Linked DNA regions of Oreochromis niloticus. The protein of the gene in region 1 interacts with the protein of each later gene in a pairwise test. Links are inferred from orthologs where the notes say so. Each region holds a gene or a part of one and is shown on either strand. Other genes may lie near its edges. The genes, in order: klhl12 and ttbk2a.

Region 1 (15,228 bases):
TGCATTCTTTCGGAAATGTAGCTGGGTAATTATGTCATTGGCATCGGTGAGCCACTGTCAATATGTGACATATTGAAATCGCGTTTGAATTTGAGCTTGTTTTTTGCTTTCACTTTGCGATCGCGTGAACTGTGTATAGAGAGCGGCAGTACTGATTGGTGAGTGACGATTAATTGCGCACCAATTCCTCTGACGTCGTCTTATCACTCATTAGCTTACTATTCAAACGTGAAAAGTGAAATCTCCCACAGCAAGCTTAAACATGTGAGAGGTTGATTGAGCAGAGAATCACTGACCGTTATGTGAGTGCGTGTGTAAAAGCAGCAGGATATATATTTTAGTTCTGCTGAGCCAAATAAGACAAGTCAGGGTGAAGAAGTGACAGCCAAAAAAAAAGCCTACCACAAAACGGAAAAGTTATGACAAATCAGACTATGAGGGAAAAAGAAAGTGCAGCTTTATGGTTTCATTGAGAAAAGAATTTCTGTGGCTGGAATATGACAAGCTAAATAACCAGGGGTGCACATAAGTGGTCCGCAGGTGCGCATTCGCTGTCAAAAATAAAAAACGCGCACCAGATAAGAAGTTGCAACACGCGTTTGCGTACATAAGATTTTCTGGAGGAGGACAGACATTTGTTTAGAACTCTTAAAGGTGTCGAAGAAGCAAGCTCCTTTAAGCAATTACTTTGGTGTTCCTCCACCTCCAAAGAAATGTCAGAAGGAGTCTGAACCACAAAAGAAGCACGTATTCTCGGAAAATTGGTTGCAGGAGGTGAGCTGGCTTCAAACAAATGATGAACGCACAGAGATGTGGTGCAGACTATGCTGTGAAAATCCCACTCTAGCGGACAAAAACAGTGCCTTTTATATGGAGGCAAACGCGCGTTGCAACTTCTTATCTGGTGCGCGTCTTTTATTTTGACAGCAAATGCGCACCTGCGGACCACTTATTTGCACCCCTATAAATAACAATGTTCTGCCGGGTGTGTTGTTGGTTTTCCCTCGATTTCTGAGTCGACAAGCGCCTTTGTTACTGGGACCAGTAATTTTAAGAAAGACCCCCATTAGAACCCATGAGAAATGCAAGAAATGCATTATTGCTCAGTCTGCAATATCTTTCCCAAAACAAACACCAATTGCAAAGAACATACCAAAAATAAACCTGAAAAATCTGTTTAGAACAGCGTACTATGTTGCACAGAGTGAACTACCATTGGCAAAATTTAGCAGTCTTTACAAACTTGGTTCCACTTACCCCTTACCCATGACTTCAGTGGAAATTTCAAATTCAGGACCTGACACAGACTGATTCATGTTCTACACAGTTCTTACAAGTTCATAGAAATTTCTGTTCAATTAGAACCAAGTATTTGAGTTGATGATTGTAATTTTTATACAATGTTGTAATTTGTGTTTCAACAATTTTTTGATTAATGTTTTGTTTCCGTTACAATATTATACTTTAATGTATAATATTGTAACGGAAACAAAACAGGAAACAAAACATCAATCAAAAAATTGCTCTCTTTTTTATTCGGGCTACTTAAATTTATTTTGGGCTACCACAAACTGAAGAGTCCCTGCCCGAAGGGCTACCAGGGATTTTCAAATTTTGCGAGCCCTGCAGTGTCACTCTAACCAGAAGGTCGACTCATTGATGCTGAGGACGACTTGAAAGCTATAAAAACATGATAAACCTCGACTTTTAACGATGAGGGTAGAATGAAAAGAAACACCTCCATCATTTAAAAGCACAACAAACGAAAAGATTCTAAATTTATCATAAAAGCCGAATCAAAACCTTAAAAAAACGGTGTCAGCAGAAACTAAGAATTATGACCTTCATAAAGGGAGGACCTCATGCTGAGTTACTGCATTAGAGTGGCCTCATCTTTAGCTCTGTGTGCCTAACAAACTAATAACTTTGCATATTTTATAAATGTTGCAGACAAGGACATAAAATAAGGCGAAACTATAAAATACAAGATATTATGGTCATTAGGCCAACCAGGAAACCAAATTATCTTATACAATGAGAAAATACTGACTTAAAGGTTTGGATTTTTCTGTCACTGTCTCTCTGAATTAGAGGAAATATTGAATTTTCAGTACTGAATCTTTTCTACACTTACCTGAGTAAGGATATAGTTCCTCCGTGCCTCTTCTACGGTTATTAGGCTGGCATTAATGTAGTCATTTGTACCTAACTGCAGATGTATTCTGCTGTGATCAACTGAAAAGAGAAAAAACAAAAGAAATATGAAAATATGCATATGAACTTTTTAAAAAAAAAATTTAAATGCCACAACCCACCAGGGACTAGAAATGCAATTCTCAGACCAAAACAGCTGTAGGGAACACTTAACAAGCATCTTCATACAAACTAAAGATGTTAACTATTGTGAGATTAGCTTTTTATGATTTCCAGTGAAGAACCTTTTAGGTAAAAGGTTAGCAGTATAAAAAAAGTTTCAGGTTCCTGATTTTCATATCTGGTAAAGGGGAATAAGAAAACCCTTGTTGGTATTTACGGTAACTATTTGCAACCCAGTCTGAGAAAAAAAAAAAAAATTTGCATGGCTTATTGAGTGTGAAAAAGAGGAAACTCTGTAGTTCAGCTGTTAGGACGTTTTGTAGAAAGTTCATTGCAACCTGACTATCTGCTGAAGCTGACATGAGGCTTTCAGTTATTGCAAAGTCTCCAGCAGTAGAAAGATTTTGAGAAGAGGTCAGCGTGACCTGTGAGAAAATTATCACAAGAGGAAGTGCACTAGACCCAAAGCTATCTGATTTGTACCCAAAAAGAACACATGAGTATAATGAACCTTGTATTTTAAATGCCAAACTGCTATAGAAAATTCAAACAAAAAAGCAAACAAACAAGCAAAAAACACAAAAAAGATTCATGATCAAAAAATACATATTGCAAAAATCATTTGGTATCTTTGTGTTCTTTGAGTCACCAGCAAGAGGGAAACTTCCGGAGCTGAAAACACAGAAGTGGCAGAAACTACAGATCCTCTAGAGAACACTTGAGGTTGACTCTAAAAGCGAGTAATTCCCAACAGACTCCCCTGTCAAAACGCCCAAATTTACAGCATTAAAATATATATTTACAACTTGGTGTAGAGAAGAAAAAAAAAAAAAAAAAAAAAAGAGGAAACTCATTCACTTAGATAATTGAGTTATTGAGTTAGCTTAGTCATTGTGTTGATTGACAAGTGTACTTACATGTAGCTGATGTACACCTCCACTAACTGGAGTCACTGAGCTTTTTTTAATGGAGATCATTTGACTAATAACTAATGTGTGGTACAAACTAGTCACAAAGTTTGTGCTCCTTTTTGTTGAGTGTTTCCTGCTACTGTATTAATTAACAGTTCATTGATGTTGCTAAAAAAAACTGTACCTGTAAACTCAGCCCTTCACCCTTTCATGCATATAAGGTCAACTCTAGCTCCCAAAAAACATCATAACATTATGATAGTGGCCAAAACTAACTTTAAAGCTTCAAAATTCAGCTTTTATCCACGTGCATCCTTTTATACTGTGTATGGTCACCAAACTGCCAGTAAGAATATATTTTAGATACACGGATTTATATCCTGAAGTAACAGCATAATATCCAGCACACAGCTTGTAACAGTACCAAAATATTGGTCAAAGACACCAGTAAGTCCCAATGAGGCCAATACTGTTAATGAAATCAAGCTCACAAAAAACAGTGGCTCCTTTAAGATTTTTAAGATATATCCTCAATTCAGAAAAAAGATTATTTTTTAAATTAATATTTATGAATGAATTATGCTTCAGTATATACGCTCACTTTTTATGTAACATACAAAAAAAAGGAGCTGTGTGGTTATGGATAACCATATATTTATAAGATAAAAAAAGAGAGGAAATAGAGGAAATGCTTGTTTCTGTTTTTGCTTTTTATTTTACCATTTATTTCAAGGCTTAAAAAAATAGATGATACTAAAAACATTGCTGAAAAAAAAAAAAAAAAAAAAACTTAATTTCCCCTTTCCCTGATCTTCCCCTTGTGTAGGTGTTTTTGAGACACTCAGTAATAAATTAGCTGGAAATACTATGCCACGCCAGTTAGAGTCATGCAAGGCTGTTTCTATTGCGCAATACTACCTTTACTTGACTTCAAACTGATATTACAGTGCTTGTACCTACTAAAACAGCAGACAGCTTAGGTGTTTATATAATGCTGCATAATGCTGTGACTTCACCACAGATGTTTAAACATAAATAGGAGATTACAGACCCTTCAACACTGCGGGTAGAGTACCAAGCAAAGAGACCCACAGTGGCATTCACTTAACCTTCAAGTATTCAAATGAGGTCGCATTATCACCCCAGCTGTATATTTATATGTGCCTTTGTGATATTTTGAATCAGAAAAATGTTCCTATCATGACATGACATGACATGACATTTGCCATTCCACAACTTTTCATAGTTTCTTACACGAATAACCCCTTTGGTGTGGCAAAGATAATAGAAAGCTGTGTGAAAATGTGAGCATGTTGTTTTTTTTTAAAAACATAACAGTGTTTGATTTTATTGTAATTTTCCACTTGTACTCACTCACTTTAATGTTTTGCAATGAACCACAGTTCACAGATGCAGAGCAAGATTCAGAGATATCCTGAAGCACATGCGGTTTGACAACTGAGCAACCAGAGCTGGCAGGCAGGACACAAACAAATCTGCTACTTTCAGGGGCATTTGGACAATGTTTCTATCACAGTTACCCAAATACTATATCCCTGTGACCAACCTCTGTGTGCATGGTGCTAGCTTTAAGAGGCAGGTTAAGTTTCAGGTAATGTATCTGTTCTACAGAAGGTTTGGCATAAAAACCTGGCATAACTGTGATGCTTAAAATCACTGAAAACCCTAGTTAATTACATGAAAACATTTTAAAATATCTGCCCTAGATAAATGAAACCAGTATACGAGTATATAATGAGGTCCTAAATGTAATTTTAGTGGCTAAAACACCTTGAGAGTTGTGGGAATATTTTAAGTGTTTCAGACTCTGCGGTCCAGCACACTGAGGCAAGCAAAGACAAACTTACACGGGCTAACGTCTCTGTATCGATTCCGATTCTTGTTTTCAGGTGATTTGGCAACCTTACAAGGGAATTCACTCGACTGCTGCCGAATCTCCTGTAACAGAATAAAAGGAGGAAAACAAGCATTAAAGCAGAGTTTTGGTGTTTTTGCAGGGTTTTTTTCGTTTTGTTTAAAAAAAACAACAACAACAACAAAACAACATCCACTCCACATTAAAAAGCTCTGAGTGTGACTGCTGTATTCTTTAAGACAAACAAACAAACAAAACAATGATGACATTCACTGATGACCCTTTTACAATTTCCTCTAGCTATCTCAATAACAATCAGGATTATATTTGCCTCAATACTAACACTGTCAAAAGCTTGTATTTAGACTACCCTAAAATATGAGGAGGGGGTTATCAAATTTCTGAAACCAGAAATTTGCTGGTTGCTTTCTTAGGGTGGTTAATGAAAGTTTAATTTAAATGTCAATTCTGACTTCCAACAATTATGAAAACAAGAAACAACATTCATTTTCATTGTTTTTATTGTTTCATGATATACATGTTCCAAGCCCACCTATTTTGCTTTCACCTCTTCCTAAAAAGTTTAAACTTGCGGTTTAGTTCAGTTGCAGGCAATATAACTGCAAGAGAGCTAAACAGCGGGACAAAAAGTTTCAAGGCATAGGTAGGTGAACCTGTGGAAAGATTATTAATGGTTGACTGCAGCCGTTTCCAACTCTAGATCACTTAGGGCCTGTCACCCTATCTGCTTTTGGCAATGCTGAACAGTTTGCGGTCAGCTTCAGTTCTCTGTGGTTCATCTGAGGCTGCTTTAAAGGTTTCCCAAGACGGCCGAACTCTATTACAGCGTTTCGCCCATCTGGACCCACAAACATTCCGCTATGGAAGCTATGGGCTTGTAGGGACCATCACCTGGTCTGGCTTTATAATCCAAAGCCCTGCCTACTGAACAGTTTTTTTCTATGTTATTTGAATTATGTAACAGTTAAAGAAGATTCCATGTGAAAAAACAACAACAACAACACAGTTTTAACTTCAGCCACTGCATAATGTTTGTAAAGTTTGTAAATAATAGAGAGATGATTGAGATTTGACTCAATGACCAATCATAGTCCATAACCTTATGTTCCACAGTTTCAGTTTATTCAATTTTCTTCAGCAGGGATAAATAACAAAGACACGAGGGAGAAAACCAAAGTCCACAACAGGTCTGATCGTTTGATCAAGACTGAATTACGAATAACAATTTAGCTCCATTAAGAGCATTTCCTGGCTCAAAATGAGCCTTTGGGGTGATTACATGAAGTTTGCGTAGCAGGTCAAATTTTCTTATACGCAGAAAGAAAGAAAAAAACCCCAACTAAACAGTACACTTCATATCATAAATGAGGAAGTGAATGCCTTTGACATGTTTAGTAGACCACAAATGTACAGAAAATATTTAATGTGTTGGTAAATGTTTTGAACAGTACTTTTGCTAGCTCACAAAAAAATTCCCAGGGGGTACTTTTAATTTTAAGTTTTAGGATATGGTCTTAAAGAATTAAAATAGAAGCTGTATGGCACATATAACAGACTAATGAATCCTGTATGCAATAGTATATTGGGGAGAGGGGGATTCCTGGCTCAAAGCAGGTTTCAGTTGGGGTTTTTTTTGGTTATTTGTTCTGTCAGAAATTTATTTTTTCTAAATTAACCCCACTGAAAACCCTTAACAATGCATTTAAGTTTGAGTAAATCAAACCCCATTCAACAAAAATTAATAATTCTCTTTTATGAAAGGCTAAAACTTCTTTAGAATGTGGCAAAGTTTTTCATAGAGGAAAATTTCTACCATTATTGTGATGCATTTCCATTTGAATTGTTACCTATGGCATTTTACACCTTACGTGTATCATGGTATGGGAGAGATAGAACCGCGATACGATATTTTGGAGGTTTGTATCGCGATTTCACTCGGTTTCAGGTGTGTTATACCCCTATGTAATGTATTACAAACATTTATAATAATTATAATAAGCTGCCGATTAACAGCGGAATGGAAATGTTAGACGAAACTGAGAACAAATCATTAAAAATAAGTTAGTACGTCCAAAAAATGTATGACGTCAGTCAGCGTTGAGCTGCTGCCTTTATACCCGGGCAGACGCATCAATCATCGGTTAACTCCGAGCAGGAAGAACAGGCGCTGAACTAAACACCAACACACTGATATAGCCAGAGAAACTATAGCTACCACCTCACCTTACATAAGCTACACGTTGGCCTAACCAGCTTCAGCTACGGTCTGATTATTTCCACCTTAATTTGCCAAGAGCTCTTACCTGATAAATGGCGTTCCAGCTGCCGTTTTCATCGATTTCCCGAAATTCAGCTTCCATCGCTGACAGTCCAGCTGCCACTCACTCTCTCGTTGTTTAGCCTCCCGATACGAACAACCAAAAGTCCCCGAAGATTAAACAAATTTCAGTCAAACTATTCGCAGTAGCTGCCAACTGGTCTGCCGCTGTTTTGTAATTCTCAGTGCGGCTGCATAGATTACCGTCTCGGCCTGCTCTTAGCGGAAACACGCCGCTAACTCCTCCTCCTGCTGCTGTAGCTGCCGTCCTTGGGTGACCAAAAAAAAGAGAGCAGAATTTTTTTTTTTTTTTAAGAGATAAAATTCCTCCTGCGTTTCTCTGTGTGTCACTTTGGGTTTATAAGCCCCCGTCAAATCCGGATTTGTCACTTAGTTTGAGTGAGACGGCTATTTTACTATTCCTACAGCAGCAGTTGAGGCCGACCAGCGGGCATGCGCGGAAGGCATCTTGTTTCTGGAGCGAAACGCGTCTGGGCGGTCTCCTCGGGGGACGCGCACGTACACTCACGTAATGGTCTGTTTACGTCCAATCTGTGGAGTCGCTGCTCTGCTGCTGCAGTTTAGTCAACGGGATATTATAGCTGGATAAAAATCCCATCGGGATTTAATATGATGCCGTTCCGATATATGTGTCCTCACGGTGGCCGTGCATAGAGTGACCCGGCAGAGGTCGTCATGGAGTAGCTGTAGTTGAGGGGCTTTGTTTAGGCAGTGCGACTGGGAGCAAAGAACTGGGACAGGGGGACTTTGGTGCTACTAACGTTAGCTAGCTGAGCAACTTAGCTAGACGTTTTTACTGCTGCGACAGGTATTATTATAAGTTGTTTTGTGTGTGTGTCGCTCCATGTGTTGTCTTCCTCTGGCCGTCAGCTCACTTTATATTGCTGTGTTTTCGTAGTTGTTATTGTTAGCGTTGGCGTTAGCCGTCAGCTGTCGTTGGCTGCTGCTAGCTAATGTGTAGCTATAGTTATTGCCTCCCAGTGGTGGAAAAAGTATTCAGATCTTTTAACGGTAAGTTTTATTTGCAAGACTGTAGTGGAAAAATGTTCCAAAAATGTAAAGTCTGGAAAGGAAAAAAAACACATATTTATTTGACTAGCATTATTAAATATGCTGCATTTATTCATAGAAATAACTGATCATTTAAACCTTTCTACAAGAAGTAGAGTGATGAGAAAAGTATTTCCCCCATTTCTGAGTTGTTATTTTTTTCATTTTTGAAATCTTCAAAGAACTTTTAAAATTAGGCAAATGTAATCTCAGTTAATACAAAATGCAGTTTTTAAATGATGATTTAATTTATTCAGGGAGTAAAGATATTCATACCTACCCGGCCCTGTGTGGACAAAAGTAATTGCCCTCTACAACCTTGATAACTTGTTATACCACCCTTGGAAGGATGAACCGCAGTCAAGTCTTTGTGATAACTGGGAATGAGTCTTTCACATGTGGAGAAAATCTGACCCACTCTTCTTTGCAGAATGATTTTAATACAGCCACATTAGAAGGTTTTCAAGTATGAGTGGCCAGTTTAAGGTCATGCCAAAGCATCTTAATCTGGTTTCAGTCTAAAATTTGACTAGGCCGGTCCAAAATCTTATTTTTTTGAGCCGTTAAGAGGCAGACTTGTTAATGTGTTTCAGATCCTGCTGCATAACTCATGTTATGCACCAAGTTATGCTTGAGCTCCATGGGACAAACTGATGACTTCACATTGTTCTTCAGGATTTTCTGGTAGAGAGCAGAATTCATTGTTCCATGAATTACAGCAAGAAGCCCTAGACCATCACACTACCACCACCGTGTTTCACTGTTGGCATGATGTTCTTTTTGTGAAATGCTGTGTTAGTCTTACATCAGATGTAACAGGACACAAACCTTTCAAAGGTTCAACTTTAGTCCTCAGAGTATTTTTTTTTTCAAAAGTTCTGGGGTTTATTTAGATGTTCTTTGGCAAATGTGAGACATGCCTAAGGCCTCCTGGATCAGTCATCGATGGGCTTTTGGAGTAATTTTGGTAGGCTGGCCACTCTGGTGAATGTTCACCACTGTTCCAATTTTTTCTTCATTTGTGGTTAGTGGCTCTCACTGTGGTTCACTGGAGTCCCAAAGCCTTAGAAATGGACGTCAGTGACTTTGGTTCTCATCTGTTTTGATCATGGCATGATATGTTGGTTTTTGAGCACTTTTGGGCTACTTTACTTTGTCAGGCAGGTTCTATTCTTGTGATTTCTTGATTCAGTAGGTGTGGTAGTAATCAGACCAAAGTGTGGCAAGTGTAATTGAACTCTGATTTCCAAAAATGTGGTTAATTGGAGTTAATTCATGATTTAACAAGGGTAACAATTCTGTTTTTACACAGGGCCAGGTAGGATTGGATAGCTTTTTTCCCCCTTAATAAGTCAAGTCATTGTTTGCAAGAAATAAATCAAGAAGTCGAGCAAATACAGCACTATAAATACTATAGTGCTTCTATGATAGTCAGTATTTTCTCTCCATTGCTGTCCTGTAAGCAGAATAAATTATGCTATTTCTTGTCCTTGCCAAGAAAAAAATGTAGAAATAATACACAATACAAATTATATATATACAAAGTAAGTATTATATAATGTAAAAGTTAATATAAAGTGGGGTTTTTTTCATGTACATTTTCATTAGCAGTTAGGTTTTGGGGGGGGAGGGGTTTGGGTTTTTTTTTTTTTTTTACAAAATGTTGTAAAAAGGGTGTAAAATAGTGACAAAAATCTGTTATCATTTCCCACAAAGTGTCACAAACTTATCTTGTGAATAGCCAGCAGTTCAACCCAACTGACAAATTACTGACAGACACACACACTCACTAGCTGCATGACTTGCTTGTACAGTATATAAAAATGTGACATTGTGGCGTGCTTTTATGCTTACTGTGGAATACCTTTCTTCCCAAAGGATGTTTTCAAAATAGACTGTCTTTTTTCCAGATTCATTTAGTAGTTTGAGATCCGTAAGGGATTCTCAAAGCAGCATGGCTCCCAAAGACATCATGACCAATTCCCATGCCAAATCCATCCTCAATGCAATGAACTCACTTCGCAAGAGCAACACACTCTGCGACATCACTCTGAGGGTGGAGAACACTGATTTTCCAGCTCACCGAATCGTCTTGGCTGCCTGCAGTGACTATTTTTGTGCCATGTTCACTAGCGAGGTAATAATGTTTGAAAAATAGATGCCCCAGTTACATTCCTGATGCACTCTTTTATTCTGTTTTTTTCTTTGTTGGCCTTTCTGGGTGTTTTAAGGTGGTGTTACATTTGCCTAAAATGCAGGATGATTCTCAAAAGTAATCCTTCAAATAAATGTGTTGTTGTGGCTCTGTAGCTTGCAGAAAAGGGGAAATCTTTTGTCGACATTCAGGGGCTCACGGCATCCACTATGGAGATCTTGTTGGACTTTGTCTACACAGAGACTGTGCTCGTCACGGTGGAGAACGTACAAGAGCTGCTCCCTGCAGCGTGTTTGCTACAGCTCAAAGGTAAGTTCAGAGCTGTACCTTGAGTTAAAAAGTTTCTAATAATTGTCTCTGGTTTTGACATTGTCTTCAGAAGCTTCTGTGTTTTGAGCTTTTATAACTTTGTTTAACATGTTAATATAACATAATATAATTATGTCTGTTTACCACGGTCTGCTGATAAGAATTAGTGTGTATGGGTAAATGTGGCATATTTACAGTGTTCATGTTAATTAAAGTGCAATGTTATGATGAAAGAAAATAAACATAATGATTAAAGAGTTTGCCTAAGCCATCTTTTCATGACTGTAACCCCAGATCTTGAAACGTATTATTCAGTTTCCTCAAAGATACGTTTTACCAGGTATTACAAAGTTTGAATTGTTTCCTCTTGCAGGCAGTAATGTATTAGTTTTAGCATGACTTAGGTCAGTTTATGTGTAGCTGGTAGAATAAACTGGGTTGTTGTAATGTTGGATTTTGGAGTTTTAGTAAGCAGGCCTGTTGAAATAAGTCACTTTCGCAAACGTTAGTAACTGGGAAACTCATCCAGTTACAGATTTAAATGGATCATCTTTAATTCCTCAATCCATTCATGAAACAACGTAAGGGCTTAATTCGAACCTCAGTTACAGCAGTGTAATCAATCAATCACGCAGTGTTGTATTCAGTATTCATACCTTGTATAGCACCTGGGAAAATCCATGCATCCATCTATCTTCTGCCAGGATGAGTGGGCAGCAGTCTAAGCAGGAGTGCCCAGACTTCCCGCTCCCTGGCCACCGTATCCAGCTCATCTTAGCAGACGCCATATAATCTTATATTTAAAAAAAAAGTTAAAAAAATGACAGCGAATGTTGCAAATATATATATTTTTGTAGATAGTGTGAATGAGTCTGTTTGTAAAATTAATCATATCATCCAGAATTATTATAGTCTGCTGGGAACCGCAGAAAATGTGATGTAATAATTATTTTTAGGCTTAATCATCAATTTAAAATTCTATTTTCTAAGAAACATTTATTAAACAGTGGTACTATTCCATTAAAATGCCTTCTGCGTTTCCAAATTAAGAGAGAATTAAATGCTGGTTTTCGAAAGAGTTAAGGCTACAAATGGTGTATGTGTGTACAAACCTATCTCTGTATTCCCTAGGGGTGAAAAGAGCGTGTTGTGATTTTTTGGAGAGCCAACTCGATCCGTCCAACTGTCTGGGCATTCGAGACTTTGCAGAGACTCACAACTGCCTTGACCTGATGCAGGCCGCTGAGCTCTTCTCCCAGAAGCATTTCTCCGAGGTGGTTCAGCATGAGGAGTTCATGCTGCTGAGCCAGACAGAAGTGGAAAAGCTAATAAAATGTGACGAAATTCAGGTAGGAAAACTGCATGTAGGGAGGCTTGTTTCTCTTTGAAGATCTTTTTAAATGTGCTGTGAATGCTGCTTTTTGTTTTGTTGCTGGATGATGTAAAATTTGTTACTCCAAGCGCCTGAAAGTTGCCTGTTAACTTTTTTGTCTGCATGAAAGTTAGTGTTATAGTTTTATAATTTTCTAATTGGTTTTTATTTTTATTTCATTTTGACTTTTTTTATTCAGTTCCCTTTCAGTTAGTTTCCAGAGTGGCTCATTTTAGTTTCTGTAGTTTCAGTTTACTTGGTTAGTATTTGTGATATGGAGAATATTGATCAGGGGGAAGATTTAGGGAATTACGGTTTAAACATGACTTTTTGTGAAGGCTGTTGCCTCACAGTCACATAGACATTATATATCTACAAATGCACTAAAGCCTCATCAGGCAGTTTGCAGTTTTTAGTGAGTTTTGCAAGTTCACAAAGTTTTATTTCAGTTAACTAAAATCTTTTATCACAACTAGTTTTAGTTTGTAGTCGAGTTCTAGTTAATTGTAATAACGTTAGTCTGCAGTACTACTGAAATAGTTAAATTTCAGTCTGAGATCCCTAAAACAAATAGTTGATTTAATGCAAATTGAGCTTGACTTTCACAGCTTCTATAATGTCTGTCAACAATCTAAGCGCCAAAAATGAAAAGCAAGTATAAACCTGTTACAGAATCAGTCTGTGACCTCCCCCCAACCACCCAAGTTCCAGTCAGTGTTGTGGATTGACCTGACAATGAAATTGCAGAGAAGTGAATCTGATTTAAGTTTGGCTTTGTGCTCAGGAAATTCCTGTTTCCCAACCACATACCCCGCTTTGTGAAAACACAGTTATTATCACATGATGATTTATAGATCACAAGTTCTGTCAAATTGTCTTTCCTGTCATATTTGTTGTTTTTAAAATAAAACCAGACCATACATGTAAATCATAGTCATGCATAATTTGCTTTCAGTTAAAGTTTTCTGTCATCCTTGAGGATTTGAAGTTTATTTTAGCAGACTGCGCTGTTTCACCTTTGTACATTTTGTCTTTGCAGTTGCAGAAATCTCTTGAATTGTTGCCACTAGTCTTGCCACAAGTAATTATATTTATTGAAAAAGAGCTTGCATCAAAAATCAGTCTTGTGCAATCGTTCAATTGCAGCTGTTAGCAAATCCTTCAGTGTTGTGTAGATTTACTGTCAGGTGTTATTAATGTACATGTTGTCGGTATGCAGGTGGACTCGGAGGAGCCTGTATTCGAGGCCGTATTAAATTGGGTCAAACACAACCGCAAAGAGCGGGAACCCTACCTGCCAGACATGCTCGAGTTTGTTCGGATGCCGCTGCTGACCCCACGCTACATTACAGATGTCATTGATACTGAGGTGAGCCAGGCGACGCTTTGTGGGTTGTTGTGTAATCACATGCCAAGCCTCCTATGAAAGATTTTTCTGTCAAGTTTTATCACACCGTAATTAAGCAAGTTTTTACTCGTCTTAGCCTCTCATTCGGTGTAGCCTGCCATGTCGAGACCTTGTTGACGAAGCCAAGAAATTCCACTTAAGACCGGAGCTGAGGAGTGAGATGCAAGGCCCACGCACACAAGCCAGATTAGGTAGGAATCCAGTTTTCAACTGCACTTTAGCTAAATGCTTGTCTTGTAGACAGAAGCTTTGTAAAATACGTTATTTTCTTTTAAGGTGCCAAAGAAGTCCTGCTGGTTATCGGTGGGTTTGGCAGCCAGCAGTCACCAATAGACATAGTTGAAAAATATGATCCCAAAACTCAAGAGTGGAGCTTTCTACCTGTAAGTATTAATTTGGTGCATGTATTTGGCTGTTGAACCAGGGGTGTCAAACATGCTGTGCAAAGTGTGAAAATGTTATTGAACTCATAAATTGCTTCCAATTCGTCAATGAAATGCAAGGTTTTTCATGATGCCAACATTACACAAGAAATGGACAGAAAATTAAAAGTGAAGTTGTTTGAATCATGAACACATGAAAACCTCTTCAGAAACGAAAACTGTACAGCTTTGATCTGTAAAGTGAAATATTGTTGAAATAGATTTTTATTAAGGCATCTCAGGCTTTTCAGCACCTGTTTTGTAAATCAATAGCTTAATAAAGAATGAAAAATAACCTTTAAAATTAAAATGACTTCTACAGAATACAGTATTTTCTAATGGCTGGTAAATTTGTGAGAGTGTAGGGTTAAGGGTTGTCTTACTCAGGCTTCTGCTTTCAGCTTTCTCAAATCTCAAAATGGCAAAAGTTATTCTAAAAGCAAGTTTGAACACCTCTTTTTTGCAGTTATTGTGAAGAATTATCTAAATTTACTTTAATTATAGTGATAACAAGTATAGTGAAAAGCAGCTCAGCTTAAAGAGTTTCCTGTCTTTCCCCAAACATAGGATTTTGAAAAGCTTTTTCCCTGGAAGATAGATTTCTACTATCATCTTTACTTTGAAAAGAATTCCAATAGATTTCAGGTCACGTGTCTTTGCTCTAGCTTTGGTTCATGTCTGCAGAATTGACTTCTTTTTAGTTACAATGCAGTGCCCACTGTAGATTAAATTAGACTGTATGTGGCCCATGAACTAAAATGAGTTTGACACTTGTGTCTTAAACAGAATATTGCACGGAAAAGGCGTTACGTGGCCACAGTTTCTTTGCACGATCGAGTCTATGTGATCGGGGGCTATGACGGCCGGTCGCGGCTCAGCTCCGTGGAGTGCCTGGACTACACAGCGGATGAGGACGGTGTTTGGTACACCGTCGCCACCATGAATGTTCGGCGAGGCCTTGCTGGAGCTACAACACTTGGAGGTCAGAGACATTCTGTGCTCAGTGATCTTACTCCCTTCTCTGAAATCACCGGTGATTTTCTTTGTCCA
Region 2 (15,908 bases), on another chromosome or scaffold:
TGTCAACAGCAGCATACGTTGGACTAGTCTGTCACATAGCTCAGATTGGCTAATTTACCCTTATAGTATCCAAGGTATTTTTTGTTTGTTTTTTTACACTGTACACATTGCTATGAATATGGCCAGAAATGTGCTCACCGGTGATTTACAACAACATGCATATTAAGTAAACAACACTATCTAGAAACAGGATAGTGAGTGATGTACCGTGAAGTGGCTTCGGATAGAGGAAAGAAAGAAAGGAAGGGGCTGCTTTGCGGGGGAAACTGAGGCTTGCGCCGTGGATAGAGACAGCAAAATATATCTGAGAGTCAGGCTTGAGGGGAAACAGCGGCGGTACCGTGCAATTACTGTCAAGAGGGAGAGACGCTCTTGCTTGTGTCACGAATGAGAGAGGCGGGGCTTGTCCAGGCGCGGTAGACCAATAGCAGGCTGAGCCCTAACGCCCACGTGCGCACAGGAGACAGGAAAAAGGCCATGGGGCCATAGGTCTCCAGGAGGAAGTAGCAGGAATGGGCCTGCCAGGTGAGGAGCAGCAGCATGAATAGGTGAACAGCCAGAGTCCTCCAGCGGCAGCCCGGCCGCAGGAAGTGGGATCGGAAGGTGTTGCCACGGCAACGGTGGTGGAGGCTCCAGCAGAGATAAGAAGTGAGGGGCATGTTGAAGAAGAGGAGCTGGCAGAGAGGAAAGGAGTTTAGTTGATGTGAACAGAACATGCATTTATGAATGAAGCAGTACCCACAGGTTATATCATCGCTTATAGCTTTAGAGAGAGAATATTGTAATTCCCCCACCCAGCTGCATGCTTTATCCTTCCTCTTTCTGGTTCATGAAGGGTGTAACAGATGAGTCTTTAGAGGAAATATGTTGTCACTCTACTAATTGTTTAAAAAGGATCTTATAGCTACCATTCTCTCTATTTAGTTATTTAGTTTATTTAAGCTTCATTTTGGGTTTAATGTTCTTCTTTTTAAAGATTCTGCCACTGTATATTTACTTTCGGTTTAAATAAAGAGTTTTCAGTTCTCTTCAACTCCATTATTTGCGACATTGCCCAATTATGTCTGACCTTTGATCCAGTTTGTGGCAACATGACCTAACCAGCGATTTTTTTCCATCCTAAAGAGTTTGTTTTCAGGAATCATGATCATCATTATCATTATTATTATTATTATTATTATTATTATTATTATTATTATTATTATTATTATTATTATTAATAAGTATTTTAGGAGAACTTCTGAAATGCTCCCTTCATTTCCATGTCACTGATTTATTTTTCCACGTCCTGAGAAAGCTTTCCACCTTTAAGGGTCCCACAGTGTTCACAAGCTATTAGTTTTTCCTATCCAACAGTCGGTGCTGGGCAGGAAGTTCACATTTCCTAAGAGTTGCTGAAAACAAAATTAATTTAAATTTAAAGCAAATATGTTCAGTTACAGTCTACAGCTGGACATATGACACGTATGTACAGAATCACAGAGAGGCTAATGTGTCCAAAACAAGGGGGGAAAAAAATTCAATGTTCTTACTTGAACAACTCCAACCACATAGGTGAGACTGCCCTCTAGAAAATGTCCATCAATGAACACTCCAAAGGCGAAGCAGGCCCCACTGTGGCCATCAATCAGCTCTCCTATGAACCACGGGCCTGAAGGAAGAGAGGAATGGATTACAGCAACATAGGAGAGATTACTGGGTAATCTTGTAAAGCAAACCAGATGTTATTTGTACACTGCTTTGTACAAGCTTCAAATCTGGCAACCACAAACAACTCTATTGTTTATTATACATGATAGATACAGTGTAGGATGGCAGATAAAATATATTTTTGGACAAAGAGGACGGAAAAAGTTAAATGGGAATAAGGCACAGCATTAAACTCACCTAAGGCCGTGCACAGGTTGAACAGCAGCAGAGAGTAGTAGAAAGTGTCTATTTTACTGACCAAGCGGAGTGACATACACACTTGAGAGGTCAATCCTGTAGACATAATGAAATACCAAACATCTATGATTGCGCACAGTGCAGAGAGACTTCTTATAGTGTGCATTTTAAAAGCTGACATTGAATCCTTATTGAGAACCCTGTCTGTGTCTCAAGTTCAGTGCGACTGAACCTGAACAGTCTGTTACATTATGATGATCTATTTATCTGAAGGTTAGTCAGAGACAGCTCACCTCTGCCCGAGAGAACAGGCATAAACCTGAAGGCCATGAGAACACCAATATTCAGCAGCATCGTGATTATAAAGGCCACCCGGCCCAGGATGTAGTGATCTGTGAGGAGGATGAAAGACTGCACGAAGCCGAAGGTAGGAGTCAGATCGCCCTCCAGAGTAAAGTGCTGCTCCCGCACTGATGACCGGCCTGCCGCGTCCTGACTCACATGCACACATAGAAAGACAAGAAGTTCTTAGTTTTTAGAGAAAGGTAGGAGCATTTTTTTAAAAGTACGAGAGTACAACAAACCCCCATAGCCACCAGTGGGTGTTTTCTAGCTACAATTCCCAGACAGCAAATCTAATACAGCTATTCATAATTCAACAAAGGAAAACAAATCTTCTTAATCTAATAAAAGACCCATGAAATATTCAAAAGTCTCAGAACACAATAAAGTGGAAGATAAATGAATGTTGCACCGACCTCCACTTTAACTCTGATTGTGTGCAGTCCTGTGAGGTAAAGAGACGGATCCCATAGCAGAACATAAAGGGGGCCTCCAGCAGAGTGACCTTTCCCCAGAGGTTCCCCATCTACACTCACATGCACCGCAGTGATTGGGGCCTCTGAGAAGGCCAAGATCCTTCAGAAAAGAAAAGAAAATGAATTCTTAAATATTAGAAATTGAAATTCATTTGCACTGGAACAAAAGAAAACAGAAAATTCAACGCATAGACAAAACACCTGATGTGCGTCGACCTTCGTATCCGACCCAGTGGCTCCACCCCTGGGTGCAGATATTGTGCATCCTTGGGGTTTGTGATGAGCACTGCAGGCCACTGCTCAAACCTCAGATCAGAGAAACTCAGCAGGTCATGGTCAAAGGCCAGAACCCTGTACCTGTAGAAAGATGTTAGAAAAATATGGGCGATAATACGACAGAAACAGAAATACAAGTAAGAAAATGTTGAAACACGTAGTGACTATAAACACCTGCGATTGTCCATCCAGTCACCCAGCTCCAGCTCCAGAGTGCCTTGGGGATGCCGGCTGTGGAGCACAGGCATGAGGCCACCCAGAGTGTGCAGATGGCCGCACAGATATGCAACTGCAGATCTTAACACAAAAACGTAGAAATTTTAGTTAGACTTGTTAAGTGTCTGCAAACAGAGGCAGTTGAATATGTACTTTACTCCACAGCATGAATTTGAAACAAGCAGACAGTCAAAATGCTTCTTACATTTGTTTTTTATCATTCTAAGACTGAGACACAATTTTAGCTTGCAGCCAAAAGGAGGAGGTTGCTGAATGTTTGCACCATGACGTGATGGAAAAAATGTTTCATTTCCTCAGCTCACCCTTAAAATAAAAATAGGAAGAAAAAAAAAAAAGAAGATTCAAAATTGGGGATTGTTCTTGCCTCATCATGTCTCGTACTCCTGAAGAAGGAGAGACGATGGTGGAGGTGGTGTAGTGGCCAAACCAGATCGACTGGTTGCTTTTCAGACTCTCAGCTCTGAACGTGTCCAGCAAGTCCATTTGAGTCTGTCAGATATGACAAAAAAACTTCATGTTTATGAAAACAGACAGCTAAGCAGATACTTTAGTTATTGCTACTCAGAAACTAAAACACTGTGCGTTTACCATTTTCTTTCCTGTTTACCATTTGCTGGACCACATTTTCTAACAGAGGAATGTAGTCCTTCAAAAACTCGCCGCTTTCTAAAGATCTCAGAATTGTTCATGAAGAGGTGTTGCACAAACTCACCTGGTTGAGAATACCAAAGAAATTGTACGGCCTCTTGGGGCCTGGAGTCAGGGTGGCATCCACACAGACAAAGGAGTAGTTGCCAAAGGGGGTCGTGTGAACGTAGTGGAAAGAGCCTACTTTCTGATTGGCTGAGTATTTCCTAGAATAAAAATTGAGAAACCTTAAACATGAGCATCAAGCTACTGTACAGCATAATACAGATTTTTTTAAAAATAAATAAATAAATGCGATCTTTAAAGAATATCGGGAAGATTAAAGACCAGCCAGCGCTAACAGAAGCATCAGCAATGTCACATAAAACATGAAAAAAAAAAACAAAAACAAAAAAAACAGTGTGTAGGTCCTGCTTCTATTTTTGTCGTCAGGATGTTCAGATAGCTGAACTATTAATGGAAAACAAGTCTGCAACTATACTGGTTTATGGGCGTCAAATGCCACAGGATACTCCAATCAGCTTTCTCTTGTTGCTGTGAATTGCAGTAAGGGACTTTACTGGCCATTTACTGGTACTTTGTACTAACCTGTAATAATTGGTGATGCTGTCCAGTGAAATAATGTTGAAAGCATCTGTGAGGAAAAATGAAATAACTGTGAGATTAAGCAGTGTAGAAGCTGTAAGGGAGGTGACCGATGAACTATTCTTGTACTGTATTGTAACAAAGAAAAATCTCCCTTTACTAAAGGACCCACAGATAAACATCCGGGAAACACATCAGCAGCTGTGATCAGCAGCAGAATAGCTGTCAGAGCCACTGCAGATCCAATGAACAGCTTTGCCTTTTTTTTGACAGTTACAAATTCAGGGTATCTTGTTTCACATCCAGTCACAGAGGAAGGGAAGAGGAGGGGTAGAACCACTTCCTGTGGGATGCTTCGGAAAATCTTAGCTGTACACTCAGCACACTAAAGATGTTTCGGCTGAATCAGTGAGCCTTGAGAAACCATAGTAATTTTTGAAAAAAGTGCCATGGTTAATCACCGTGATTTCCGCGGATGTCAATCCACTTGGTGCGCTCCATTACACGTGACCTCTTTAGGATGTTGTGGTACGCCTGCCACTCCACCTCGTGCTGGAGGGATCCCACCTTACTCTCTGTTTTAGCATCCGTCAGATCCCCTGGGGTAAAGGAAAAAAGGGGAGAATCTCTGTAAGCAAACTGTCATCTGATTGCATGAGTCTGGCACTGCATGATCTTGAGCCACACCCATTCAGTCATATTATATGCAAAGAATTTAACAGGAACCAGATAGAGATCACTGTACCTGTTGCAAGCACAAGAGCTGGTTTGATCACCTCAATGGTGTCGGTGCAGAACTTTTCAAAGTCTGGGATGCGCCTTGGGTCATGAAATCGACTAATGTGAATATCGGACACCTTGAATTACACACACACAAATGGAGGTGAGGGGTAAAGGCAAATATTTTAAATGGGGCTCTGTGACATTTTCAGCTCTTGTGGTATAAAGGCTATAGAACAAGAGTGCAAAGTCTGGCTCAAAGTTGCTGTGTTTCTGTGTTGAAACACCTTTTCACCCAACATCGGAGCACTTCTGTGGACACTGACCCCTTTCTGTCAATCATTCAGAGAGTTTAACCTTAACACAAAGTCAAACGCCTGTATTGTATACACACTAGATGTAAATAATCCCTACAGACGGAATAACAGCCCACCTGTACAAACCAGAATATATTGTTCAAGTGTTCGCCGGGAAATGGTGGAGAACTCCCCTTAGATTCAGCTCCATCACCGACAGTCGGGTGGTGAACGCTCCGTTTAGGGTGCCAAGCCGTGTCATAGCTGTCCAGCACCCAGGAGGTGATGCACGCCAGGGCCAGTCCGAGGATAACCAGTGCACCAAACAGCTTCAGCATCCTCCTGTAGTGGCGAGAAAGGGGGGCTAGCTGCCGCCGTCTATCCCGGACAGAAAAAAAGCTAGCTACTGGTGGAAACAGCTAAGGGCACGAATCACACTAACATTAACTACAGATATAACAGACAACTGAGCTACATGGCTAAGAGCTAAGGCTCAGACCGTTTCTGTCGCTGCCATCGCGGCCACACGGGATGCATTGAAGTGCGTGGTTCATTCACGGCTCCGTTCAGCTGCCTTCGGAGGCGGAGGAGGTAGCACGGCAGGTTAGCCAGCAGTTAGCTTCCTGCCTACCAGCTACCAACACACAGCTCTGACCGGGTGGAAGGGGGAACGTCACCAACAATGACGAGGCAGCGTTATGACAGACAGAGCTCCCACTCTGACATTGTTTTTCAGAGCTCCGTAATGATAACACACCTGCCATCGCGAGGAGTTTCGGGAACACCAAAGCACTTGTCAACTTCGGGTTTTTATAATCATTTATTCCCCAAAACCGTTTAAAAAAAAAGGAAATAATTAAAGCTTTCGTACAGTTTTTAATTCTGCCATTTGATATACGGAACTGGAAACGCTTGACATGACCTGGCTGATATTTGAAAGATGAATAAATGAATAAATAGATAGATGAATAGATTAATAAATTTATTTTAAAGACAGAAAAAAGGAAAGGACCCTTTATTTGACATTTTTTCTGTCTTTTTCTGGGGGAGGGGTTCTGTCAAAAAAAAAATTCCATCTCAAGCATCAAAGATACTTTTTTTTTTTTTTTTTTTTTTTTTTTAGCATTTTTAAGTATTTATTTTCACATCTTTGCTCAAATACACCAATTATATAATAATTCAAAATGTTACAAAGGCAATAGATCCAACCCTTGTGAGGTAATAAAAACATTTCTGATCATTTTATCAATCGTGACATGGTAACAGGGTTGCAAAAAAATGACTCGGCTGAATGGATATATCCTTTTATTTGTAGATTATGACATATTTGTGACAAATAAATACTCAGGGCCACAAAACTGTTGTTAATATAATAATATTTTGTATGTTTTTAATATGCATTTCTTATGTTAATTTTATATGATAACAGGGTTGCTAATCAGCACTAATATTAGTGTTTTATCAGTAAAAGATATTATCCGTGGAATTTAATGATCTGTGAAAGTCAAGGATGTAGTTATGTAAATAAAAGGACAGAAACTCTGAAATGAGTTTGTCTTCTTTTGATAACATGTGCAATGGGTTTGCAGTTAGAGTGACACACTCAGTCTTCACTGGAAAAAGACAAAATATGTCAAAGAGGACTGACCTTTGGTCAACCCATGGTGCTAGCACATGACTCAACCATGTCACTTCTTCTTTGTCAGGTCGTCTCCCTGTTTTTGTCTCTTACTCCTCCAGGCTAAATAGGTTTTGGTAACTGGGTTGCACATATGTTGTGAATGGTTTCCTTTTTTTAAAAAAAAAAATGCTGATAGTAAATGGTTTGACATTTCTAAATGAGATCTTTCAACAAAATCAAAACAGAAAAAATGAATTCATAACTTATTTTATATAATATATTATATTTCATATATTTGACATACAGTTTGGCTCAAGAAGTTGGGAGAAGAGAAAAATGCCATTTCTCAGAGGTTCTCAAAGGCCATTTTGTATTTTTAAATAATATTTTTCAAACCAACAATACGTTTACATTTTGCCTCAGGAATGGTGTATTTACACAGCAAATGCATACCTTAGTATTTATGAATTCATTATTTTCAAATTATGGCTGGGACAGAAAATGTCCTGCAATCGTATGTTGACCCAGATATCTGCAAATAGGAGGATACTTATGGCTGTGGCTGATGTTTATCTGATGTGCCACAGCACTTTTGTGCGGGCTAAATTCTCAAAAGTAGTGTGACAAAGAGCTTAAAGGCTTTAAAAAATACTGAGAATTCTTTGATCCCCTGACAGAAAAGAGAGAATAAATAACAAAAATAAAATGAATGAGAGCACACATTAAAAGAAAGTAAGTCAAAGTAATCATTGGAATAAACCCAGTAAAACTGCTGTTCAGTTACAGTGCATTGTATGATACCAATGACTAATCTCGAATGTAATTGAATCAAAGCGGTGCAAAACAGGAAATTATTAAGACTCCGTTTCCAAACAAATTAAATCTTCAGCTGTGCTGAATATACACTGTATAACAATTGTTCCACAGCAATGCACTGTATTGGTGCAAGAAAAATATGGTGCAGTGTGCACACAGCGTGCTAGATAGAATCAAACAGAAATAACTGCATTGCAATCTTGCAGTTTTTTCTGCAGATGGAGCTATATTACAGTAATCTTACATATCTTTTCACTGGATATTTTATCTTTATGCAGATAAAATGGGATAGTCTTTTTACAAACCACATTTTCTTAGGGTTGTATTTTTAGTATTTTCATTTTTAGTATGTTATTATTGTAATATGCAATATATATGTGTAAAAGTAAAGATTTAGAAACTGTGATGTAATCTAACTCTACTCCAGTACTTTACTGACATTAAATTTTCATTATTTATATGTCTTGTGCTGCATTGCATTTCTACTTGTATGCTGCTTTATAACAATTCAAAATGAAGTACTGCACTTTTTAACTGTACTATAACTGCAGGCTTTAGACATTTTAAGTCTATTCAGTGGATGTAATTGAACACCTTCAGTATACACTGAAAATGGGAAGGTGCTGAATGTGTACACCTGTTCAGACAAAATATTTATATACTAAGGTACCACACTTACAGTCATGTAAAAATAAAATAAAATACAAAATATAGCATTTCACAGGACTTTATGAAGTCTTGTGAAAACTAAGTACACCCCATGATTGAATATCTTGTATAAATCGTAGCAGCAATAACTTCTGTATGACTTCATCAGTCTCTCCCATTGATGCAGAGGAGTTTTGGCCCACTTTTTCTTTACAATGTTGCCTCTGTTCATTGAGGTTTGCAGGCCCTTGTATATGTTTAGCTCTTTTAAGATCCACTAAAGCATTTAAATCAAGTTGAAGACTGCCCTTTGACTGGGAAATTGCAACACTTTGATTCTTTTCCACCTATTCAGTTTTAGATTTGTGGGTGGCCTTAGGGTCTTGGTGCCCAGGTCCTGTGGCCGAAAACCAAGCCCATATCATAATGCTTTCACGGTCGTGCTTCATAGTTAGTATGAAGTGTTGCTTTGCTGTGTTTGGTTTTGTGCATTATGGCCACACATGTCCACTTTGGCCTCATCTTTCTAAACGACATTGTTCCAGAATTCGTGTGGTTTGTTTAAATGCAATTTTGCATACCCAACCTGTGCTGCTTAGAGAGAAGAGGCTAGAGAAGGTGGATTTTTTTGCAACTTCCCCTATATCGCACTGTGTAGCATTGTATTAACACACATCTGAATCCTGCAGACCAGCAAACTGCCAAAACCTCTGCTTTTATAGAGATGCTCACACTTGCTGATGATCATTTGATTAGCAACACCTTGCTATTACTTACCCTCTTAATTAGAAGCATTTTGTGTGTACTTTTCACAGGACTCTATGCAGTCCTGTTTAAACTTTCTATTTCACATGACTGTAAGCAGTTTTGAGGAAACTTTTTTACCCAACTCCATTACAATTGTTTTACTAGATCATCTTTCCTTTCTTTAGATTGAACTACAAGAAAATCACTTATTCACTACATGTAAATGTAACATTTTTTGACAATATCTTTGCTGTCGCACTTTTTTTCTGTTCCACTTAAATAAAAACCGTGTATCGTATGTTTTGTATTGTAAAATGCACTTTTCATCACTGAGTGTTGTTGTTTGTATTGCAATGGCATCTTTTGGTTAATGCCGCCCCCTAGTGTTATTGATAAAAAACGGCCTTTTGTGGCCGCGTTCCAAACCAAACCGATTGTATCCTTCATATTATCCTCTAACATCATTTTCTCATATCTCCTTTGTACGTCCATATATGATGACACTCCGCATACTCTTTGGGCTGGGAAAACAAACGCAGACGCGGTGACTGTGTACTGCGCGTGCGCGCAATGCTAAACCGCGGAGACGAGCTTTAAAGAGGGCCCCCTCGCGCGCGTGGCCGAGCTGTTGCGAGGGGCGATCGAATCGGGGCCGCGCGCGCAGGAAGGCTGCTGATCATCACAGAGTTGTCACGTCACGGATCCGCAGCGACAGATAAAGATGCTGAGGTGACAGGCAGAAGGAGAAAACGGACGATCACACTCAGACATATTTCCTTCCCTCCTCCATTCGCTCTTTTATTTTATTTCCAGTCACCGACAACACCACCACCACCTCCGCCTATGGACGCTTCGCTCGCTATGGGATTCCGCTCGTTGTCGTCCCCGCCGCCCCCAAACCAAAAGGATTTTTCGTAACCACACCCGGCTCGTCTTTGGATCAAGGGCTGGCAGCTCAGACCCGAGGTAAGGATCCAGATGATTCAGTGCCTCCTCTTTTTTTTCCCCACCACTCTTAACACCCCCATGTTTGTCGGCGGCAGCTGCGTACATGCGTTCGGTTTGTTAACCTGCATGTTGTCAGAGCTTACAGTCAGGCAGGATGGGCTTGCGTGGCCTGCGGATGGCCAATGTGCGTGGACGCGCCTGAGTAAATCTGCTGTGGCAACCAAATCGCTATGCAACAGCTCTCCACAGCAAAGCCGGGGTCAGTCAATGCAGGCAAGAGAGGGGGTTTCATTTTGCAGAGCGGCGTTACACCTTTGCTGGGACTCGGCTGTAGCTTGTTATCGACACATCCCGTTGAATACGATACAGAAGGCCTGATTGTATTTGCTTGGTCACTGTGGTATGCACTAATAATGATGAAAAAGATGCACTGGAGGCAACTGTAGCTCTTTACGTGAATGCATCTTTGATTCCCTATATAAACACACTTTCTGGTCCCATCCTTCCCTGCTTCCCAGTCTTCTCTTGATAGAACCCATAGTTCTGGAGAGAAGTCAGTCCAGACATTAATTTTCATCCAGCAGCAGTCTCTCCGTCCTACCACTGAACCAGGCCACTCTTGGATTAGGCAGAAGATATTCTCGTTGGATCCAGGCTTATACGCATGTATGCATAGCAAGCTTTCAGGGTCAGGCTTGATTTGTTGTTGCTTTTGTGAATATTCACCATCAAATCACATTCATATTCACTCTCAAGGAGGAGCTACTCTGCGGCAGAATCACTCATTGACATTTCATGATGCTTTTTCTAGCTGTAAACTTGCAGCTTCCAGCAGACCTAAAGGGCAGAGGCGATGACCAGCTGCAGTCAGCAAATGAAAATGGCACTGCACCATCGTCGCCATGGAGATGCTGGGGTCAGGAAGCTTGATGCATTATGAGGCAGGAGCTGGCTGTCATACTTGGCTTTTAATTTTGGGGTCCAAAGGCTGCTTCTGGTGGGCTTGTTGTTTTCTCTCTCGTCATTGGCCGTGTCTGGTATGGAGGAGGAGGAGCAGAACCGTGCCCCCTCTGTAAGGCGTTAGATTAGTCACAGTGTGAGGCAGCCTGGCTGGCTTGTGCAGATGTGTTGATTTGTGCAATATGTGTACAAGCTTATGTTTGAATGAATGCTGGTGTCTTTGTGAGTCAAAGATGGCCTCAGATGAAGCCACTATTTAAAACTTTCTTTCCCCACACCCTATTTGTATGAAATAACAACCTCCAACTTCTGACTAATTTTAAGCAAATTATCTGCTGTGATACCCAGGTGTGACCCTGTGGAAAAATGTCCTGAAGGAAAGCACTGGAACATGCTGTGACCTTGAAGTTCTCACTCAGAGCACTAGTTATTCAATCACAGAGAAAGTTGCTCATCCCTTGAGGATATGAGCATTTTTGTGGAGCACGTTTGATGGCATGCTCTGTGATTTTGCATAAGCAGCAATTAGCTCAACGTTGAGAATTCACAGTTGGCTCAAAGACTTACTGTGTTCATCTCTAATTTACCAAGAAAAATACTTGTATAGAAGTTTAGCCAGTGTGGATTAAAAATAGATTGATTTCATCTTTTTATTCACTTTCGATTCTCTTGAACCAAAGCAGGACAAAAGATTCAGGAGGTATGCTCAGGAGAGAAGAGGAGTTAGAGAGAGACTGGTGTAACAGTGAAGCTGGGGGGAGCGGAGGTAGTGAAGGTGGCTGATTTTAAATCTCAATCTTTCAAAGCAATGGAGAGTGAAGAAGAGAGTGCAAGGCAGTGTGGAGTGGGTGGAGAGTCAGAGGCGATTTGTGACAGTAGAGTGAAAATGAAAGGTTTACAAGATGGTAATGAGACCTGCTATAACATATGGTTTGGAGTTGGTGGCACTACCAAAAAGACAGGAAGCCAAGCTGGAGCTGTCAGAACTGAAAATGGTAAGATTTTAAATGGGAGTGACCAAAATGAACAAGATTAAATATGAGTACATCAGAGGGAGAGCTCAGGTTGAACAGTTTGTAGATAAAGTTAGAGAGGCAAGGCTGACATGTGCAGAGGAGGGATAGATTCTGGGCAAAGGATGTCGATGCAGGTGCCAGGGAGACGGAAAAGAGAAACATCACAGAGCAGCTTCATGGATGTAGTGACAGAGGACACGCAGAGGGTAGGTGTGACGGAAGAGGATGTTAGGGATTATGGGTGAGATGGAGGCAGAAGATTCACTGTGGCGAGCAGTCAAGGGAGCAGCTGAAAGAAGAAGAAGAAGAAGAGTGAATGACCCAATGCTTAAAAGAACTAATGGTGAATGAATGTCAGCACTCACTCTGCTGTGTTTAGTATAGTAATTGGAAAATTCTAGCATGTGAAATGATGACCGTGATCTCTGTTATTCCAAGCCTGCTGACAACAGAATGAGTGGCATAGCTGTAGAGCATACTCTAGTATAATTCGGGATTCTAAAATGTTTTAATATCATTAAATATGGTTTTCAGTCATTTTTACACAATAAAAGGTAAAGATTACGATTAGGATTAGGGTTAGCCTCAAGGCTTCTTCAGCAGTAAATTGTGCTACATCCTAGTTCATAGCAAAACAGTACAATGTAGAGATTAGTGGGCATTTTAAACTAAATCAGAGCATATATACTGAATATTTGCAGTGTTATGAATGACCGCACACAACTTTCCAACCCTGCATTGTCACAAGTCTGATCACTCAAAGCCGCTTCATTGTGCTGCACTGGCCAAAACACACAACCACTTTAATGTCATCTGATATTTGCTGTGCTGTTTTTACGACATTTAGTAAGTCATTGTTGATTTCGAATTATCGCACGTGTCTTGATTTCAGTGAAGTTTTTCCATTATGAAGATATTTGGTTTGTCGTGTATTTTGTTGAGCTCTACCCATGCTCTATGCATGCCATTTGTTACATGTTTGATATGTTTAACCGCTTATAAATAAAGCATAAATTAGCTTATTATCCTCGCTACACCAATGGACCAATTCATGTAAAACAAAAAAACTGAAAAGCTGTAGGAGATGTAGACACATTCATAGTAGGAAGCATATATAAATATACAGCTGGGATCATAATCAAGCCCCTTTTGTCCCGTGAAGGTAAACATTTTAAAATAGAATGTACTGTTAGTGTAATGTAAGTCCATTACAGTAATTGCGAGTCATTAAAAGGGATTTGTTTGGTCCAGTTGTGTCGTTGGATCTGTGTAGCTTCAACAAAGGCCACCTTACTCCTGAGCCTTAACCTTGGGTCACATTTCATGCTCATCACTTCACTGTTATCTGCTCTAACCACACTTCTCCCTCTTCCAAGCCTCACTAGCATGCTGCATGATGGGATTGATTGCCTCCTTGATGTCGGGATCATGCCCTGTAACCAAATAGTGTTTTGAAGGCTCGTTGCGTAACCGTAGATGCTCGGGCGCCGTGTACAGAATGATGAATCAAAGTCGGGCTTGCTGTGAGTGAGTGTTTGAAGGCGGACTAAAGGAAGTATCTAGCGAGTGCTCTCCGGAGGAATGTTTATCTGCGACACGGATGTTGTATAATGCAGGAACACGGACTCGGTTTTTCAAAAGGAAATTCCATTTGAAAGTTGATGTGTGCTAAAGGAGTTTGTGCCACATCATGTCAGCCTAATTAAATGATCAGCAACACTTTTTAACAGGTTGTATTTTATAGAGATTCTATAAATTATTATTAAGTTTATTAATAATTTTTCTATTAATGCATTAGAAGCCAATTTGGCTCCTCTGGAACGTGTTTATCCTCCAGCATGCTGCTTTTCAGACATCTAGTCCAAAAATGTTTTATTAACAAATGATTACCATGTATATATGTAGTAATACTGACACAACTAACTTTATTTAATATGAACTGTAAGTTAGAATTACTACAGAATGATTCAGTATTGTGATAAATGCGATAAAAAGAGTTCATCTACAGCTGGATTTGACATGAATGGTCCATCTTTTCTTTCTTTTATCTTCATCCAATTTCCCAGTTGATGCTGATTTTTCTTTCTTTGGTGTCAGGCGTAGGTATTATGTAAGCTGTAGCTTCAACCTACACATTTTTGGTTTGTCATTTGATTTTGTTTTTTTAATCATTCAATTTCTCGTGATATAAATGAACAGAATAGAAATAATGACTGCAGATATGCATATTTCTGTTGTCTGGAATTAAAAATAAACTTAAAACTGTCTTACAAAATAAAATGAATGAATATGTAACTTATAAGAATAGTTGGTGCTTTGTGAAAATTCAGTTATTTATAAAAATGGGAATTTTTGTGTGGTTTGGTTTTAATCAGTTCACTACTGAGTCGATTTAAATTAAGCAAATTAAACCGACTCATTACATCTGATAATACACTCATAAGGCCTGCCGCTTGGCTTTCATACACAGAAGAGGGAAAATGATACTAAGATGATGAAACCTCTTTGTAATGTAATAGTTTTGCCTGTGAGTTTGTTGGGTGAGCTTGTCTAGAAGGACAGCTGCTGGCAGCAGGTGTGGCAGCTGCTGCAATGGTCACGTATCAGAAAGCTCCAGCTATTGAGGCAGCAGTTGGTCTCTCAACTGAGCGGCATGCATGCTTTCTGTAGTGATTTTAATGCTGTAAAACCTGCTGGATGTTAGCCTGAGATGCTCAAGTGCAGCTTGGTCAAATGTAACCAGATTACAGCTGATTTCCTTCTTCCGCTTCTGACTGCTTTGTTTCTCTCTTGGACTTCCGTAGGGTTCTCCATCAGATCCCAAATGCTCGGCCCAGTGTGAGGCTGCTGGTCGTGGGGGAAGCAGTGAGGGCAGCGTCCCTAGATTTGCCGACGGGATGAGTGGGGGAGCAGAGCAAACTGACATCTTGAGCGTGCTCTCCCTGGTCAAGGAACGATGGAAAGTGGTAAGTGCCGTGTTTTCCAGCTACAATAGGCTTCGTGTTTGTGCAGCCCCATCACTGCCTGTCCCGAGGTCACCCTCTGTTCCACAAACAGGATTTCTTTGTTCCTCAAACAATGCTTGCTCTGCCTATGAGCGCCACCGCTCTCTTTTTAAGTGTCTCACCTGTGTATTCGACAGTTTGGGGTCATGTCTCTCTGTCCAGGTTCTGCTGCTGCAGTACGGGTGATCCAAAAATAGCCTGTATAGCTATTTGTGGCAGTTCATTGTGCTATAGGCAGCAGCAGCAGTGCTCCCCAAAGGCCCATGTCTCTCACTGCTGTGCCAGCCTGGGCTCCGTGTGAGGCTGTTATTCCTAACTGGCTCCACTTCCTGTCATCTAAGGAGTTACATAAGAATGCTGCAGCTAATCCCACAACTTTAGCTCCAAGTGCGACAGAAAACTCTGTGCGAGCATGGAGGACAGTGAAGGGCACATCGGAGCTTAGGGGAAATTAAAGCTGTAGTAGTTGAGATACAAGATGAGCTTGAATACTATTGGTAGTTGAGAAGCAGCTAAAAGAATGAAATAAGGACGATGCTATGCAGAAGTATAGGTGAACTATAAACTGAGTCATATAAATTCCTGCTGGTTAACCAGGAAGAAAATTTCACATTTGCCAGCAGTTTTAATCAGAATCATTTTTTTAAAGTTAAATAAAAAAACAACAACAACCTCTCATT

The links.
Region 2: the proteins of klhl12 (region 1) and ttbk2a interact in binary tests that used the Homo sapiens proteins (3 or more experiments, as listed by UniProt). The two-hybrid records come from large-scale screens. The link is inferred for Oreochromis niloticus from reciprocal best matches to the Homo sapiens genes KLHL12 and TTBK2.

The regions. Positions count from the first base shown.
Region 1 is NC_031984.2:10,038,760-10,053,987, forward strand, and holds the start of klhl12 (kelch-like protein 12), read left to right. Parts: upstream 1-7,995; 5' UTR 7,996-8,270; exon of another isoform or gene 8,271-8,363; 5' UTR 8,364-8,415; coding exon 8,416-8,473; intron 8,474-10,422; coding exon 10,423-10,649; intron 10,650-10,822; coding exon 10,823-10,976; intron 10,977-12,107; coding exon 12,108-12,325; intron 12,326-13,567; coding exon 13,568-13,717; intron 13,718-13,832; coding exon 13,833-13,947; intron 13,948-14,032; coding exon 14,033-14,139; intron 14,140-14,964; coding exon 14,965-15,160; intron 15,161-15,228. Other genes in the region: ptpn1 (tyrosine-protein phosphatase non-receptor type 1), read right to left, coding at 2,135-2,235, 5,096-5,186, 7,428-7,484. UniProt on the Homo sapiens protein: Substrate-specific adapter of a BCR (BTB-CUL3-RBX1) E3 ubiquitin ligase complex that acts as a negative regulator of Wnt signaling pathway and ER-Golgi transport.
Region 2 is NC_031983.2:19,231,052-19,246,959, forward strand, and holds the start of ttbk2a (tau-tubulin kinase 2), read left to right. Parts: upstream 1-9,915; 5' UTR 9,916-10,265; intron 10,266-15,027; 5' UTR 15,028-15,120; coding exon 15,121-15,189; intron 15,190-15,908. Other genes in the region: tmem62 (transmembrane protein 62), read right to left, coding at 354-674, 1,533-1,651, 1,888-1,983, 2,181-2,379, 2,646-2,805, 2,907-3,062, 3,156-3,278, 3,583-3,707 and 6 more.